2 linked regions of the Arabidopsis thaliana genome follow. The protein of the gene in region 1 interacts with the protein of each later gene in a pairwise test. Each region holds a gene or a part of one and is shown on either strand. Other genes may lie near its edges.

Region 1 (8,917 bases):
AGTCAGACAGGTTCTTCGGCGGTTAAGTCTGCAAGCTATGGTTTGGGTTCCTCTACAAAGCTTCTCAAGGTGCTAAACCGGATATGGAGTCTCGAAGAACAGAATACTGCTAATATGTCTTTGGTTAGAGCTTTAAAGATGGAGTTGGATGAATGTAGAGCCGAGATTAAGGAGGTTCAGCAACGGAAGAAGCTAAGCGATAGGCCACTGAGGAAGAAAAAAGAAGAAGAAGAGGTAAAAGATGTGTTTCGATCCATAAAGAGGGAGTTAGATGATGAGAGAAAAGTTAGAAAGGAGTCAGAGACTTTGCACCGGAAGCTAACACGAGAGCTTTGTGAAGCGAAGCATTGTTTGTCCAAAGCTTTGAAAGACCTTGAAAAGGAGACACAGGAACGTGTTGTTGTGGAAAATCTCTGCGATGAGTTTGCAAAAGCGGTGAAAGATTATGAAGATAAGGTGAGAAGAATTGGCAAAAAGTCACCGGTGAGTGATAAAGTAATTGTGCAGATTGCAGAAGTGTGGAGTGACCAGAGATTACAAATGAAGCTAGAGGAAGATGATAAAACATTTCTTCTGCGAGCTAAGGAGAAGAGTAGATCACAGTCAAGTAAAGGAAGTGGCTTGAGAGCAAAACCAGATGATTCGGTATCTATGCATCAAAGGGTTTGCCTGAAGGAACTCGAAGAAGGGCTTGAAAAGCGAACAAGAAGAGATAACAAACTGCAGCTTAAGAAGAGCTCAGGCCAAGTTCTTAATCTATCTATGTCTTCGGAAGGAGATAAGATTCATCCAGAGAGTAGTCCAAGGAACGTTGATGATCATGAGAGTCAAGAAAAGTCTAGAACTTTCTCGAAGAATCATCCGAGAAATGTGAATGTGATGATCAGGGAAGATAATCATCGTACTCTCAAGGATAAGCTGATGGAAGCTCGTGTAGAAAGTCGACGTTTACGTTCTTCTTTGAAACCAGAGTGATAATTCCGGTTCGAGCAAATAATTAACTCGTGTCTTCTCATGTATGTTGGATTAATTATTTGGTTGTGGTTAATATTAATGCTCGTTAGTCGTTAAAAAAACTAAATATTTTAATTGTCCCAGTGACAGAAACCAATTTCACATGAAAAAAGGAAAAAGCTAATTTTGTCAACAGTTCACATATATTGACATTGAACACAACTCCGGTTCGACAAAAAAAAAGAACACAACTCCGGTCAACTATTTTTGGCAGTTGTAATTAAGAACAAAAAGATGTAACTTAAAGAAGAGACAATTTAACCGATTAGTTCAAATCTTTGGTCATCAAAAATTCCACAAGTTTTAAGAAGACTGATTGGTGATTAATAAACGTTAAAAAAAAAAAAAAAGCCAAGTCAAAGATGTGTCGGTAATAGCGATTGACCAAACTCTATCTGTTTTAGAGCATCATTAATGGTAGTTTCTTAGCATAATTTTAATATAGTTTTTATGAATATTTTTATAATTGATTTTGAAAATTCTGAAGTTAAAAACTTGGTTAAGAGATTGAAATTTAGGCAATATGCAATGGTGGAATCTTAACTTGGAGTTCTTAAAAAGAAAATTTGAAAAAAAAAATAGAAACATTATAATTTTAAAAAACTTAATAGTTATTACAACTCATAAAATTTAAAACATACATGACATAAAATTTTAAACAAATATGACAAACAATTCTATTTAATACTTAAGTTATCTAAAAATTAAGATTAATTAAATTAAAATATTATATTTAAGACCTAATTTATCTAAGAATTAACTTAAAAAACATTAGATTTGGCTCTTATATAAGAGCTATTCTTAACCATTAATTGAATTATAACATTAAATTTAAGATCTACTTTATCTAAAAACTAACCTAAAAAACTATCAATAATGATGGTCTTACGAATGCCTAGATTCTCTTCAATATACAAAAAGTACGGTTTAGTTATTGTTTGGACATTTGAAATCTAACTAATTCTCTTTTTAGTCTTAATGCAATGGAATTGCAAATACTCCATAAACCATAGTGTTGCACCCTAACCGTATCTCTCTCTAAAAGAGAATCTAGTCAACAAGATTATGTTTAATCTCTAATTAATGACAATAAGATTTACTGCCAAAATAAATAAATAAATAATAATAATAAGATTTACTGCCATTTATTCTTCTATATTTTTCAATTTTTTATTTACACTTGTTCCATAATCGTCCCAAGGAGTAGACTAGGGTTGATGCTCTTTCATCTATAAAACGACTTAACACAACATGTTCTTTCACATCATCATCATAAGCCTCAACAATCCATCACCATACATATTAGATTCTCCCTCTTTCCATAGTTTATTTTTGGTTCGTTTTATTGTAAAAAGATATCAAACTCTTTTTGGGGGACATTCGTTCTTCAAGTGTAACAGAAGGAGCTCCCTTCCTCCAAAACGAAGAGGACAAGATTTGAGGAACTAAAATGCAGAATCTAAGAGTTCATGTCTTCCTCATAGAGAGTGCGCGGTGTTAAAAGCTTGAAGAAAGCACACTTTAAGGGGATTGCACGACCTCTTAGATTCTCCCTCTTTCTCTACATATCATTCTCTTCTCTTCGTTTGGATTGAAGGGAGCTCCTTTTCTTCTTCTCTTAATTAGTCTCTGTTCTTCAAAACTTGGTTTCGATCTAACTTGTTTTCTTTTTCTCTAGTGCATTTTTTTTTTCAGGTTGTCATGTTTATTTGCAGGTGTTTGTGGTTGATGCTTGCATGGAAGCAATATTAATGTTGTTTATTTACGAGAAGACGTTCGTGTGCCAATTTGAAAATATGATATTAATGGAAATACAGATTAAAACTGACAAATGTATAAATATTTCTTGTTCCTTGTTTTAATTTTAACATTAGTCGTGTGTTTGTCGTAAATACGAAGGGGACATTTCACCTAAAAAAAGAAAAAAATATATTCATCAAAACTGGTCTTGGATACGTTTTTAGTTAAAACAAGAACAATAATAAAGTTAGGTTTAACTTCGATCAGATCGAAACAAGTACACTATAATTGTTTTGGTTTGAGAAAATATACCATCGATGGTTTCAAGAAATAATAGCAGCTGGGTTGCTTGTAGTCGATACGTTAAGTCGTATCATCTCAAATGATCCCTAGTAGTACACAACATAGTCAACTGGTTTGTCATGTGTTGGCCTACGAAGAAATGTATACCGGCCGGATTTCAATTTATAAATTAGTCCTTTTTTTTTTGTCAAGTTATCATTGCATAGCCAAGTTTCACTCGGTCAAAATCTAATTAACAAAGTCTGTAAAACGTTGAAGTAATTGTATTTTATTAAAAGAAAACTCCAAATTAGACTTTGATTCCAACGAATATTTAACGACATAAAAGGCATTGCCGTTTGTTGAACGAGTTGTCTTCTTACCAAATTTGACGCTTTCCAACTAAATACACTCCTAATTTTGCCTATTACCTTTTTCCTCCTCTAATTAAGTAAATGCTAAATTTCCCCCAAATACTAAAAATCGAATCCGATAAGTCAAAATCAAAATCGTACCTACGCGATTTATGCAAAATACCGGAAAAAGAACCAAAGTGCTTATTACAATCAAAAGACCAAACCGGTTAAACAATTAGTTAGGCTGGCATTAACGAACCTCTTTGTCTTTAATTAGCCTTTATCCGTCACCGCCCTGTTACCATAACCGTTCAACGTCGACCCGCTCTTTGTTTCAGAAAAAAAAAACAGAGAAAGACTTTTTTAGTGTTTCTTTGTCATTTTCGTTCCTCAAAAAAACCTTTTCGAATTTGACCCTTATTGTTATCCTGATTCTTCTGCTCGGTTCTCGCCGGAGAGAAGACACGGAGAAGAGGGTTTTCGAAAAGGAGGATGAGAGGTTCCAATAACACCGATCTATTTGACCCTAAGACGGAGATGGATTCCAATTTCTCTCGCCATGGTTCTTCCTCCGAAGGTGATTTTGGTTTCGCTTTCAATGACAGTAACTTCTCCGATCGTTTGCTCCGGATCGAGATCTTGGGTGGGCCTTCGGATTCTAGGTCTGATGCTGAAGGATGTACGAGTATTGCCGATTGGGCTCGTCATCGCAAGAGGAGAAGAGAGGACAACAAGAAGGACAATGGTGGTACGTTTGATTCCCTATCGGTTGGAATCTCAGATTTTGTTGTTGTTTTTATGAATTGTTCTTATGGTTGGTTTAGGGCTTTTGGGTTTAAATGTTTAAGAAACTTATACGTTTTGCATTTCCAGTTGCGATTTCAGACATTGTGGCATGTGCTGAAGAACAGATTTTAACCGATAACAACCAACCTGATATGGATGATGCTCCTGGTGGTGATAATCTTGACGATGAAGGAGAGGCAATGGTTGAAGAGGCTTTATCAGGTACCGTTCTAAATTTCACATTGTCTCTCGAGTGACTGGGTTTGAATTTGTGATACTTAACAATTTTCAGAAGAGCGTTTTTTGTTGAAGTCATTTGTCTGAAACGTGATGGCTTTGTTTATTAATGGTTTTTGTAGGTGATGATGATGCATCTAGTGAGCCAAACTGGGGTATTGATTGTTCTACTGTTGTTAGAGTTAAAGAACTGCATATTAGTTCTCCTATCTTGGCCGCAAAAAGCCCCTTTTTCTACAAGGTATTAACCTTTTTTCTTCTTCTATGTTCTTATTGTTTGCTCTTGTTCATCTCGCATGTAATGCTATCTTTTGCTTCTTGTTTTCCTTACCCTGTTGTAGCTGTTTTCTAATGGAATGAGGGAATCAGAACAAAGACATGTAACCCTTAGAATTAGTGCACAAGGTACGACAATTTAAGTCAAGCTTTTAATTCATTTCTGCTATTCTCCAATCTCTTTATATTGGCTTCAATTCTCTACTAGCTCTCTGTTGGCTTCTTCTTGTTTTGGATTCTTTATGCCTCTTGTATTAACTCAGTTGCTGACTTTGATTTACATATGATATACGATATTAGCTTTAAGGGAGTCCACATTGTTGATTTCTCATGCTCTACTTTTATGTGTATTGTAGAGGAAGGTGCTTTGATGGAGCTTTTAAACTTTATGTATAGCAACTCTCTAAGTGTCACAACAGCACCCGCTTTATTAGATGTTCTTATGGCTGCTGACAAGTTTGAGGTTGCTTCCTGTATGAGGTATTGTAGTAGACTACTGCGAAATATGCCCATGACCCCTGATTCTGCTTTGCTCTATCTTGAGCTGCCCTCTAGTGTTTTAATGGCTGAAGCAGTGCAACCTCTAACCGATGCAGCAAAGCAGTTCCTTGCCTCGCGCTACAAGGATATTACCAAGTAAGACTCTCCAGTGGTTTGAAATGCATTTACTCTAGTGTTGTATAATTCTTGTTCATGTGTTACCATCTTGTACAGGTTTCATGATGAGGTTATGGCCTTACCATTGGCTGGAATAGAGGCGATACTATCGAGCGATGATCTCCAAATTGCTTCTGAGGATGCTGTTTATGATTTTGTCTTGAAATGGGCAAGGGGACAGTATAGTTCATTGGAAGATCGTAGAGAGATTCTGGGTTCACGCCTTGCACTCTACATCCGCTTCCCATACATGACGTGTCGAAAGCTGAAAAAGGTACTAACGTGCAGTGATTTTGAGCATGAAGTAGCATCAAAGCAAGTATTAGAAGCGCTCTTCTTCAAAGCAGAAGCCCCACACAGGCAACGCATCCTCGCAGCTGAAGGATCGGACTCCATGAACCGCCGTTTCATAGAGAGGGCTTACAAATACAGACCCGTAAAAGTGGTGGAGTTTGAGCTTCCTCGCCCGCAATGTGTAGTGTACCTGGACTTGAAGCGAGAGGAATGCGCAGGACTATTCCCTTCAGGAAGAGTCTATTCTCAGGCTTTCCACTTAGGAGGTCAAGGTTTCTTCCTCTCAGCACACTGCAACATGGACCAGCAAAGCTCGTTCCACTGCTTTGGGCTATTCCTCGGAATGCAAGAGAAAGGGGCTGTGAGTTTTGGTGTGGACTACGAATTTGCGGCAAGAGATAAAAGTACAAAGGAAGAATACGTAAGCAAATACAAAGGAAACTACACATTCACAGGGGGGAAAGCGGTTGGTTACAGAAACCTTTTCGGGATTCCATGGACTTCGTTCATAGCCGAGGACAGTCAACATTTCATCAATGGCATTCTCCATCTCAGAGCCGAGCTCACCATTAAACGTTCCTCAGACCTGCACTGACTGTTTTCTTCTCTCTCTCTCTCTATGTCGTCACATTTAAGTTGTATAATCTCGTTATGTAGCAGCTCTAACCACGAGTGTCCTTTGTACAATAATTGCCTAAGGAGCAAAAGTATGGCTTAAAGAGTACCTCATTCTGTAAATTCTTTGATTGGATTTTTTTACTTTTCTATATGGGTCTTTATAAATAGTCCAAGATAGAATTTGGGCCTAGCTTTTGAGGTTAGTCTTAAAATATGGGCTCAAGGCCTACTACGATGCGTAATGATGAAGCTAAATTGCCTATAGTGTGAACATTAGGCTTTTATATTCAAAGTTCAAACAATGCGGCTATAGCAATGGTACATCGAGGAAATAGAATGAAGTGACAAGGATAATTTAGGAAATGAGGATAGAGGAATTGAGTCCTCGTCACATGGGGCCCACATAAATGCGTAAGTAAGACTATCCGCTTACCAGACGGACACGTCATTTTGTCGGGACACGTTTGAGCCGTTGGATGATTAATCTCCTTTTCTGACTTATCGACCCCACTTTTTTTTTCCACTACAAAATATTGATGGCCACGTCAGATGATTCGAAGTTATATAAAACACACGTTTTTATTGCAGCTTAACCGTCGATTTTTTTCTAATCGAGAAACCGAGATCAACGGTCTATATTCAAAGCTGATGTGGTCTGTACCTTTGCTTACGTCACCGAAAACCTAAGTTGAATAATACTAGTACTAGTATTATGCTCTCTGATTTCTTTCTACAGTACACAAAATAAAAATAAACAAAAATAGAGAGCCCAGACAATATTTACTACATCACCCAATGGATAACCGACACGTAGATACATCCATGTGAGTCGCATTTTGTAATGTAGGGACCACTTCGTGGATAGAAGCTCTTTTACGCCAACGCAAAAAAAAAAAGCCTCGTTGGCCCTTTAGCCTCTAAATGCCAATAACTATCTACTGGCGTGGCTTAGTTTATACCGTTGGATCATTTGTTTATCCCAGCCGTTGGATTCGAAGCAGTTGTCGGGCTTGTGGGCCTTTTCTTTATTGTTTTGTTTTCATAATAATGAAAGAAAATAAACTAAAAAAGTATTTTTTATTTTTCCTTTTATGGTGATTCCATGATGGCAAAAACGTGGCCATACACGTGGGTCGTCTCGTGGCACCTTTGGAAGATACGAATCGGTAGTGAATAATGGACGGTTCGGATCTTTAGTTTTGTCGACAGAAGTGCTCTCCGCGTCGGAGATACTACTAGTCAAAGGTCTTTTCTTCCTTCGTATTTTACCATAATGTCCCTTCTTTCTAATCAAATTTTTATCATGTATCCAAATTATTCGAAGCAATATTCTATATAATAAACAAATATGCCCATCGGTAAGTAGCAAAAGTTAAATTGTGTTTATTTTCATGCCATACAAAAATAATGATTCTGAAAATTCGTTGGAAAGATTGTTTAGTTTTCTTATTTTTATGTTGCACATGACTTCACTGACGTGTGAATGTGATGACGGATTTTGAAGAGGATTATACACTATGGTAAATATCGACTATAAAAATAATCTAAACATGAGGGAAGCGTAGAGCGACTAGAAATCGAACACGTGTACGGTAGAGATGACATAAGAAATGGCTGGCACTAAACTCGATGAGCCAACTCATCAAACACCACCGTAGTTTACGCTGTTATATATTCTCATGACACGTGTCTGATGACGTGGTCATCGTCTTGGCGCTCCGTTTTTTTTCTCTCTCTCTCGCGTCTCCCTTCCCTCAAAAAAAAAAACTGAACTCTTTTTCGCTCTGGTTTTTTTAGAGAGAGAGAAAGATGAAAATGCGTTTAATTGCTGTTTAGGTTTCGAATTCGCGATTTAAATTTCTGGGTTTCTCTCTGTTTAAGCTTCTTCTTCTTCATCTTCTGCTTACGTTTCTTCTTCAAGGAGCTTTCGGATTCTTGTAGGTATTGCGTAACTTAAATGGTTCAAATAGAGATTGTTTGGTCGAATAGTTTTGTGATTTGGTTTCTCTATCATTCATTGATCTTCTAAGTTTTGTGAAAATTTTGCCATTTTTGATCGTTTGCTTTTGCATTTACTTGAATTGAATGAAAAATTATAAGTTTTGAATTTGAACAAAAACAGCTAAAGCGTAGAGAAGAACAGAGTTTCTTTTTTTGGGTGCATGTGATTGTTTCAGGGGTAGAATTGTCCAGTAGTGTCTACTTTGTTGATTCCTTTTGTCTTCCTGAAAGTTTTCTGAACATAGGATGTGAGAGAGAAATACTATTTTACCCTTCTCTGTCTCTATATTTCTCACACAACAACACCCATCCCCATGATTTTGCAGAAAGAGTCATTGTTCTCTTGAGTGGGAAACCTTGAAACCATTCCTATGGGAAATAGCAGCGAGGAACCAAAGCCTCCTACCAAATCAGATAAACCATCTTCACCCCCGGTGGTATGTTGAACAGTTTCAAACCATAATTCCAAAGTCAATTTAGTTTTTCTTAAATTCCTTATGCGTTGACTTGACTCTTGTTGATAGGATCAAACAAATGTTCATGTCTACCCTGATTGGGCAGCTATGCAGGTTAGTCTTTTTTTTATTACGCTCCAGTTATGTACTAGTAATACCATGATTAATAATGATTTTCATGATGTGTTGCTGCTAGGCATA
Region 2 (8,145 bases), 9.4 Mb from region 1:
ACCAGAACCTTCTTTCTTGTGCAAAGTATCTCTAAAACGTCAAACCTCATTATATAGAGGCCCATTTACTGAATTTTGAGAAAATCTGAAACTTTTTTAGATTTTGGACGTTGTGTAACGAATGATGAATTAGAAGCAAAGTTTCAAACCATATTCATATTTCTTGTTGCTAACATAATGAATCGTATGAATATGGTTTGAAACTTTGCTTCTAATTTATTATCATAGAACTCAGTCTCATCCAACCGCACAGCTCCAACTAAACTACAAATGTGTTTCTCAAACAAGACACATTGCAAGTGTCACACACACAAGTAAGATCATCAATTCACCAGAATCATCACCAATGAAGACACTTGAAATCTCTGGTCTGAGAAAACTTGTAAAACTTTGCAACAAATTCAACAAAACAACAAGATGAATTCGAATCACACTTTTGTTACACTAAAATTTCTAATGAGACTGAGTCCTATGATGATTATTAGTTATTTGAGGCATCACTAAAATATATTTTTGATCCCTAACCAAGAGTATATCGATAATCAAAATTCTACAATATTTTATATTCTAACTTTCCATAACGAGAAAGTTTATCGGTGACAAGCGTTACTAACCAGAAATGCAGTGAAGAGAGATCATACATAGTGAAAATCATAAAAATGAAAGCCTCTTCCATAGGCAGAAACTTACACAAACATTTGAGAATTCACTACTTAGACATTGTCTCTTGTTACTACCGAGTTAAAAAGATTTACATTACTCTCCTCACTCCATCAACTTCTTTGAATTGTTCCATCTCTAACCACCATACGGTAAGCTGCACAACACCATACATTAAATCAATAACTTATTTTTTAGAGTGATTTTGTAGATGATTAGATTTGTGCCAGAATTTTCAAAAAACAAACCATAAATAAGTGGTGTTTTTTATGACAGGTAATTTTAACAAATAGCATGATATCATGTAAAATATACAAAATAACATGTTATTTGTTAGAATTACAAATATACAACAAATAAACCAAATTTATTTACGATTCTGTGTCATCCATATCTTGCAATGCCAATAAATATGGACAACATACATGTATATGGTCGTTTAAAGTATATATTTTTATATTCTTTGTCTCAATTTAAAAACAAAAAAAAAATCATGTAAAGCTATCAACTCAAAAGAATGTAAAAAGAAAGGGTGATTAATTGGTTACCCGAGCCTAAGGGAAGTGTCGGAGCTCTCGGAGTCAACAGGCGCTCCGGTAGAGTTTCCGGCGTTAGTAATAGACTCCGACGACTGTCCTTCCTCGTACACAGCAGCGTTCTCCGATTCAGCACCACCGTGTGCATGCACATTGTTACATATCTACACGTAACCAAAAAAAAATATTCCAAATTTAACATTAAACTGATAACAAACATACAAAATTCAAAATAATCAAGACTATATATATATCCACGTACTTGCATGCCAAGTCGCTCGTTCTCTTCCGTTAGTTGCGTTCCCTGCAAAAATCAAGACAAAACATATCATTAAGTTCTCTAGCTAAGTATTTGCATTTTGTGTTTTTAGTGGCACCATGTGTTTTGAATTTCTCTAGAGATCAACTAACTACGAATGAGCAAATCTTGACATGAAGCCTCGACCAAACTATATATCAAACAAGAATTAGATATATATTCGTTTATGGTTCCCTGTTTCAAAAAACAAAATGAAGATGAAAAAGAAAAAACGCACCAAATCCATGCATGCACACTCGTAGACCTCTAGGACCCTAGAGACTAACTAGCTACATGGTTACCTTTAGTTTTAAAGACATTTTTAAATCGCGCTATATCACTTGGTTTATTCATTTATCTCACAGTATGATCAAACATATGTGTTGTAGACAACTGGGGATTAAATTTAGGGGTGTGTACGTTAATGGTAGACAAAAGAAAGGGATTTGTTATCAACAGAGAGGGTAAGACACATACTTGCTGCCTCAACCGCTTGTTCTCATCCATCAATTGCATTCCCTGAACACCAAAAAAAAAGAGAAGAAGATGAAAATTTTGGATCTTGAAACTGCCAAAATTAATATTGAAATCATCAAGTAAAGAATAAACGTTATTTTGGTTAATTATTACCTTTTTCTGAAGTTCGCTGATCTCACTCATAATCTTGTCACTCTGCAAACACATCTCGTATTAGTAAATTGCATACTCGTAAGCTTAGAGAAACTTATACATGGTATCAAGTAATTTTCTTAACAACCTTTGTTTCAATCACACGCGTCAAACCAGTTTCAAGGGCCTTCTCTAGCTGCTGAAGCTCTTCAATGTCAAGTCCTTGAAGTTCCTCTCCTCTCATTTGCCTATATATGATCATGTAAACACACAGTTAGAAAATGATAGTGGTTGATCAAAAAAAAAATTAGTTAGAAAATGATAGTTAGTTCAAAAGTCATAGAATATACATATATAACGTACCTTAGTCGGTGGCTCTTGTCCGCAATTTCTTTACTCATTCGGGCGTGATCACTGTTCTCAACCAGCTAACAGAATAAAACATTGATTTAAGCTCTTAATCATATCCATAATGATCTAAAGCTCAACTCTCTACACAGGACTACTCTACATGACTACTACATGGATCGAGTCTAATTAATCATATGCAATAATATAAAGTTTTGTACCTATTAATACAAAGTTTTAAGAGATTCTTGGTCAATAAATACAACAATCTAAAACATATTGGTAATTCAACGGAGTAATACTCGATTTTGCAAGTTACAGAAATCGGGAAAGAAAATGTGTGGTCGTTTCGAGAATGTAGCTAACCTGTAACTCAAGAGATGGCTGATCAAGCTTCTCCAAGTTCTTTGACTGCAAGTTATGCCTCTCTAGGACTTCCTTCATGCTTCATAATATAAACACATTCCAATAAATAACTTATTATAAACAACTATACTGTTGATATTAACAATGTGCATATGTAAACACCGACAATATACCAAAATCTAAAATCAAAAGATGCAAACCAAATCCACAAAACACATTTAATCCCAAACATGTACATTATTTCATGTTAACACTATCGTTTTCAGTTACATATATACACAATTATCTGTGAAAGTGTGTATGTCCCCGAAGATAGGAACTGAGCTGATAACTAGTGGGTCAAAAATCCAAAATCGTATCTCTGTAATACGATAAGTCATTTTAGATCCCTAATATCAATAATATCTCTCTAAATGACTTTTCCCAACACTAATAAAGATTCCAACATATCTATACATATACATATATATATATATATTATTTTTAGATTACTTCTTCAAAGGGAAAGCTTTATACATCCACACATATAGATACTTCCTCATGTTATGGTACCCACATATTTCTATATAAATATGACATTGACGGCTTAAACATATCATACCACAATATCTATATACATAGATTTATACATGGTTGACACAAATACCTACTATAGAGCATGTATTTATATACTAATAATATACATATATGCATATCCAGATTTACATCTTTTTGAATATTACCGTAGTTAGATACCTTAATTTATCTAAATACAGAGTTTTACTATACACTTTATATATGTCATTTATGGTCATGATTAATGTTTCTAACAACTATTTTAATTATATAAATAGTTAGTGGTCCTATAAAGATTGATACAGTAAACTCCTATGTATCAGATATACATCTAAAAACTCTTTAAAGTTTTTTGTCTGGATCTAGACAAGATTCCTTCGATGAGTTATGAGAAATCTATAGAGAGGGAAGTTAGAGAGAGAAAGAAAGACCTGGAGCTACAGAACTCGAACAGTTTTCCGGTGGAAGAGAAGATGATGAGAGCGACATCGGCGTCGCAGAGAACGGAGAGTTCTTCAGCTTTCTTGAAAAGCCCTCTTCTTCGTTTCGAAAACGTCACTTGTCTCGCCGTTGCGTTGTCGATCTTCCTGATCTGAATCTTTTCTCTCGCCATCACAACGAACAAAAAAACCCTAGAAGCAAGAGAGAGAGCTTAGGTTTTGATTTTAATGGATCTTTCGAGAACGGGATTGATTTTGATGGATCAAGATTCAAGAATGAGAGATGATTAAAGAGAGAGTAAAGAGAAGAGATGGAGGAGGAGGAAGAAGAAGCCAGAGGAAATAAATTTTGTGAGAGAGAGAATTTTTGCTAAAAAGGGAGACTTTAAAGAAGAGAGAGAGAGTGACAAGACGACTGAAATGGAAAGTAAATCGTGTTCTTTTTGCTAAATTTAGAAGAATAAATATGATTTCAAGACAGTAAAAACCCTAGTTTTTGAAAGATTTGAAAGAAAGAACACACTCAGTCTTTTGTGAGAAGAATTAGATCTAGTCGATGAATCAACAAGGAAATTAGAGAGGATCAAAAGAAAAAAAACTCAAGAAGAAGAAGAAAACTAAAGGAGAAAAAAAGCTAAGGGAATATATTTAATTTTCCACCTCAAAGGTCGAGGAGAGAAGAAGACATGAGAAGGTTTTGATTGGTGAAGGATGAGATATTTTCAGGGAGAGGTTTATTAATTTTATAATACTATCAAGATGATGGGGTTTCTTAAATGATTATTTTTGGAAAGAAAACGATATATATTATATTTTTAGTTTTAGTTTTTTTTTTGGATATTGGTCTGTGTGTGGTGGTTATTGGATATGGTGAGGTAATAGGATTTATAAGTCTCCAATGAGATGAGAGAGAGAAGAGAAGTGTGTGTTTGGGTCAGTGGGGAATTTCTTTTTATAGGGAAGCATAAAATGAGTTGTCTCACTTTGTTCACTTATACTCCTTGTAACTAATTGGTTGGTATTTACTGCAAAAACTAACTAGAAGACCTGAAGAACATCAAGGGCTACAACGTATTTTCATTTTTGTAAATCTACGTACTATATGGTAATGGTACCTCATAACAAAATTCAGAAAGAACAAAATAATATCAACTGTATATTATTTTTATTTATGTAAAAACATTTGGGAAGATGACATTTCAGAATTTTTCTGAGGACAATGTTTTGTTTTTACTGAAAGAAATAAGTTTGTGAGTTCGGCCTTGGTTTGTAAGAATCCAACTCGGAAATGACAAAATAATTTGTTAATTTCAAAGACATTAGTGCAATAATTTTTGAAAATTTAGTAGTCAATCATGTGGCATATAACTTGTCGAAAAATTGTGTCCTTAAAAAAAGAGGTTTGTAACCTAATGAACCATATCTACTCAGATACATGTAGTCCATTATACAATTACAATCTATGCACTAATTTGGAAAGTTTGTCATGCACAAATAAATTTTGTTCAATCCCAGTAACAATTACACACACAATGGGGGTATCAATCATCACTGAAGTATTTTTTTATAAAACCAATTGAATATGTAACTCAAAATAAAATTTAAATGAAATCACTTTCTTACGAGGTTATTTATCATTTAACATTTTAATACATAAGCTCAACATTACAAATCACATATACTTCACCAACGTCAACAACAGAACCAAACATATGATTTCAATCGCCACAATCATCATTCCATAGACTAAAAAGCAATTTACAAAACCGTGATTAAAGGTAAGAAAATAAAATTAAAGGGTTTTTAAAAATAAAATAATGTTTAAGCATACCTTCATACGAAGAAACAGTGAATAGAGGGACCCTCGAGGCACGAGCCAGAGTAAAATAAAAAGTGTCGACCACTAAAATTTTTCAAAGGGACCCAAAACCAGACCCGAAGCAGCCACAAGAAATCTGATTGGGACACGATCCATTGTCCGTACAGAATTTTATTTCTAAATTAAAGTTTTACCCAAATAAAGATACTCCACGCAACTACTACAAACCCATTCTTCTTCTCTTTATTACTCCAAGTTTGCAATAATCTACCCTTCAAGAATACATGTGGCTCGTATCACTCACCCCCTATTTGAGTATTATTTACTCTTCCGACGAAACTCTTGTGTTGTATTATTGCGAATTTATTATGATACTATATGAATTATGAAGTTGCAAACGGTAAAAAAGTCATATGGTTGATGTGATTAATACGGTGTTAAATATAATTATGGTTTGCGTTAATTTACTGTAAACTCTTTTCTTTTCTTCTTTAACTCTTTTCTATCTAATTGGGTAATCAAGCAAATATAGTTGAATTATAATTTGAAATTTTTGTTGACAACAAAATATTAATATGGTTTGCGTTTGTGTTCTACGAGTAATGGAATTATGGAAGTTTTTAAAACAAAAATGTAGTATTTTTTGAAAATTTTGATGACGTATATTAGAAAACACTAGAAAACAAAACCTTCTAGTGGTTAAAGTTGCTAGGAGAATAACTATAAGAGAGGTGGCCTGATCGATATTACTTATTTCGGCATAATACATATTCCTTTCTAACGTATTTTAAACAAAGAAAATCGTTGAGTTTTTTTCAGCTTGGTTTGGTTTCGAAAAAAAAAAAGTTTGTTCACTCACAAAATTATTATCAAGTAATGTTTATTCATATTTGTCATGGTTTGGTAAAAGTAGATTAAATTTGGTAGAACATCCATCAATTGGCGTTTGGAACCGCATGAATCATTTATATTTGAAATTGAATAGTGTTTAGAGGCGCACGTGACACAACTGGTGAGGTCTTTGAGTTTTGATTGGTCAAAGTGTCAGAGTTTTTATGAGTAGACGACTCGTGACCTTTCCCTTAACAGTTCCAAGCCTCTCTAATGAAACATTGCACCTAACCTTTTAGCCATTTTAGGCTTCTTTCTTTCTACACAGTCCCTACACTACACACTCTCTCTGACACATCAAGGAAACTACAGTCACCGTTATCATAAAGCGGAGTCCCTAATGGGCTTTTTATTATTATTGGGCTTTTATTAGGCCCAAATTTTCCTTACGAGTAAAATAAGTATTATTTTGGTTCAGTTTCTCGCCGGATCCTGAAAATGACGACGGCGGCGATGACTTGTACGAGACTGACGATATTTACGGTGGCCGGAATATTACTTCAGATTATTGGCCTCTCCATTTTCGTATTCGGTTTCTTCCCCGTCAAGCCGACTCTCTCCGGCGTCAGGTACTACTAAATCAATAACATTTGAAGTCGAAGAAGAAGAATCTACGCTCTATTGATTTGTTTATTTGAAATGGCAGTGGCTCGGAGAGCTATCGAGATCCATTCTGTGATTCTTCTCTGATTTCGAACGAATCGGAGCTTCATCATCCAGAGAAACTGAGATTGCTGTACCAGGTATTTGTCTCTTTTGTGAATCCAAAAACAAATGTGTAAAGTTCCCTTTTGAGTTTGATAGTGGTGAATTTGTAGGAGTTATCTGGAATCTCTTCCAAATATGATCGACTGATTTTAATGGTATGTTGCACTTTGTTAAAATTTTGATTTTGATCTTTGTGAGAGAGTGTTTTTGAGGATGTTAAAGCGATGCTAGTTTAGGTTATTGATGGGCTACCTGCGGAGTTCGTTCTTGGGAAAGATGGTAAACCTCCAGAGAAGGTTTTGAAAGAGTCTATGCCTTATACTCAGTCACTGTTAGCTAATGGAGATGCTATTGGTTACCATGCTAAAGCAGCTCCTCCAACTGTTACCATGCCGAGGTTAAAGGTGTGTGTATAGTTGTGATTAAGTGGATGATCACAGTCTAAATGAATTTATTTGCTTGCTTAGTTGATAGAATTCATTGTTTTTTTCAGGCAATGGTTTCTGGGGCAATTGGTGGTTTCTTGGATGTTGCTTTTAATTTTAACACACAAGCTCTCTTAGATGATAATATTCTTGGTAACTATTAGTTTTCAACAATGAGAAATTTTTCATGCTTGCAAACATTGAAAGAAAAGCTATGTGACATTGGTCCAAATTTACCAGGTCAGTTTTTCAGGATTGGTTGGAAAATGGTGATGCTCGGTGATGAGACGTGGCTCAAGTTATTTCCAGGGCTATTTATGAGACATGACGGTGTTAGCAGTTTCTTTGTGAGTTAATGTGATGTTTGGTTTTGTTGATTGCTTTTCTTATCGACATCATGGTCATCTGAACAAAAAATGTTTTTTTGGACAGGTCAAAGATACAGTACAGGTAGACAGAAATGTTTCTCGACACTTGCCCGATGAGCTAA

Evidence for each region. Proteins that work in one complex are often made in the same cells at the same time.
Region 2: the proteins of LRB1 (region 1) and SVP interact in binary tests that used the Arabidopsis thaliana proteins (3 or more experiments, as listed by UniProt).

What each region holds. Positions count from the first base shown.
Region 1 is NC_003071.7:18,992,227-19,001,143, forward strand, and holds LRB1 (BTB/POZ/Kelch-associated protein), read left to right. Parts: upstream 1-3,418; 5' UTR 3,419-3,884; coding exon 3,885-4,140; intron 4,141-4,265; coding exon 4,266-4,400; intron 4,401-4,537; coding exon 4,538-4,656; intron 4,657-4,756; coding exon 4,757-4,820; intron 4,821-5,047; coding exon 5,048-5,327; intron 5,328-5,405; coding exon 5,406-6,237; 3' UTR 6,238-6,446; downstream 6,447-8,917. Other genes in the region: AT2G46250 (myosin heavy chain-like protein), read left to right, coding at 1-975; GBF3 (G-box binding factor 3), read left to right, coding at 8,633-8,698, 8,786-8,830, 8,913-8,917. UniProt on the Arabidopsis thaliana protein: May act as a substrate-specific adapter of an E3 ubiquitin-protein ligase complex (CUL3-RBX1-BTB) which mediates the ubiquitination and subsequent proteasomal degradation of target proteins.
Region 2 is NC_003071.7:9,576,257-9,584,401, reverse strand, and holds SVP (K-box region and MADS-box transcription factor family protein), read right to left. Parts: upstream 4,756-8,145; 5' UTR 3,986-4,755; coding exon 3,804-3,985; intron 2,897-3,803; coding exon 2,818-2,896; intron 2,532-2,817; coding exon 2,467-2,531; intron 2,352-2,466; coding exon 2,252-2,351; intron 2,167-2,251; coding exon 2,125-2,166; intron 2,014-2,124; coding exon 1,972-2,013; intron 1,501-1,971; coding exon 1,459-1,500; intron 1,361-1,458; coding exon 1,209-1,360; intron 818-1,208; coding exon 799-817; 3' UTR 501-798; downstream 1-500. Other genes in the region: AT2G22530 (Alkaline-phosphatase-like family protein), read left to right, coding at 6,961-7,091, 7,169-7,265, 7,341-7,385, 7,467-7,634, 7,724-7,808, 7,896-8,002, 8,088-8,145. UniProt on the Arabidopsis thaliana protein: Transcription repressor that inhibit floral transition in the autonomous flowering pathway, independent of photoperiod and temperature. Acts in a dosage-dependent manner.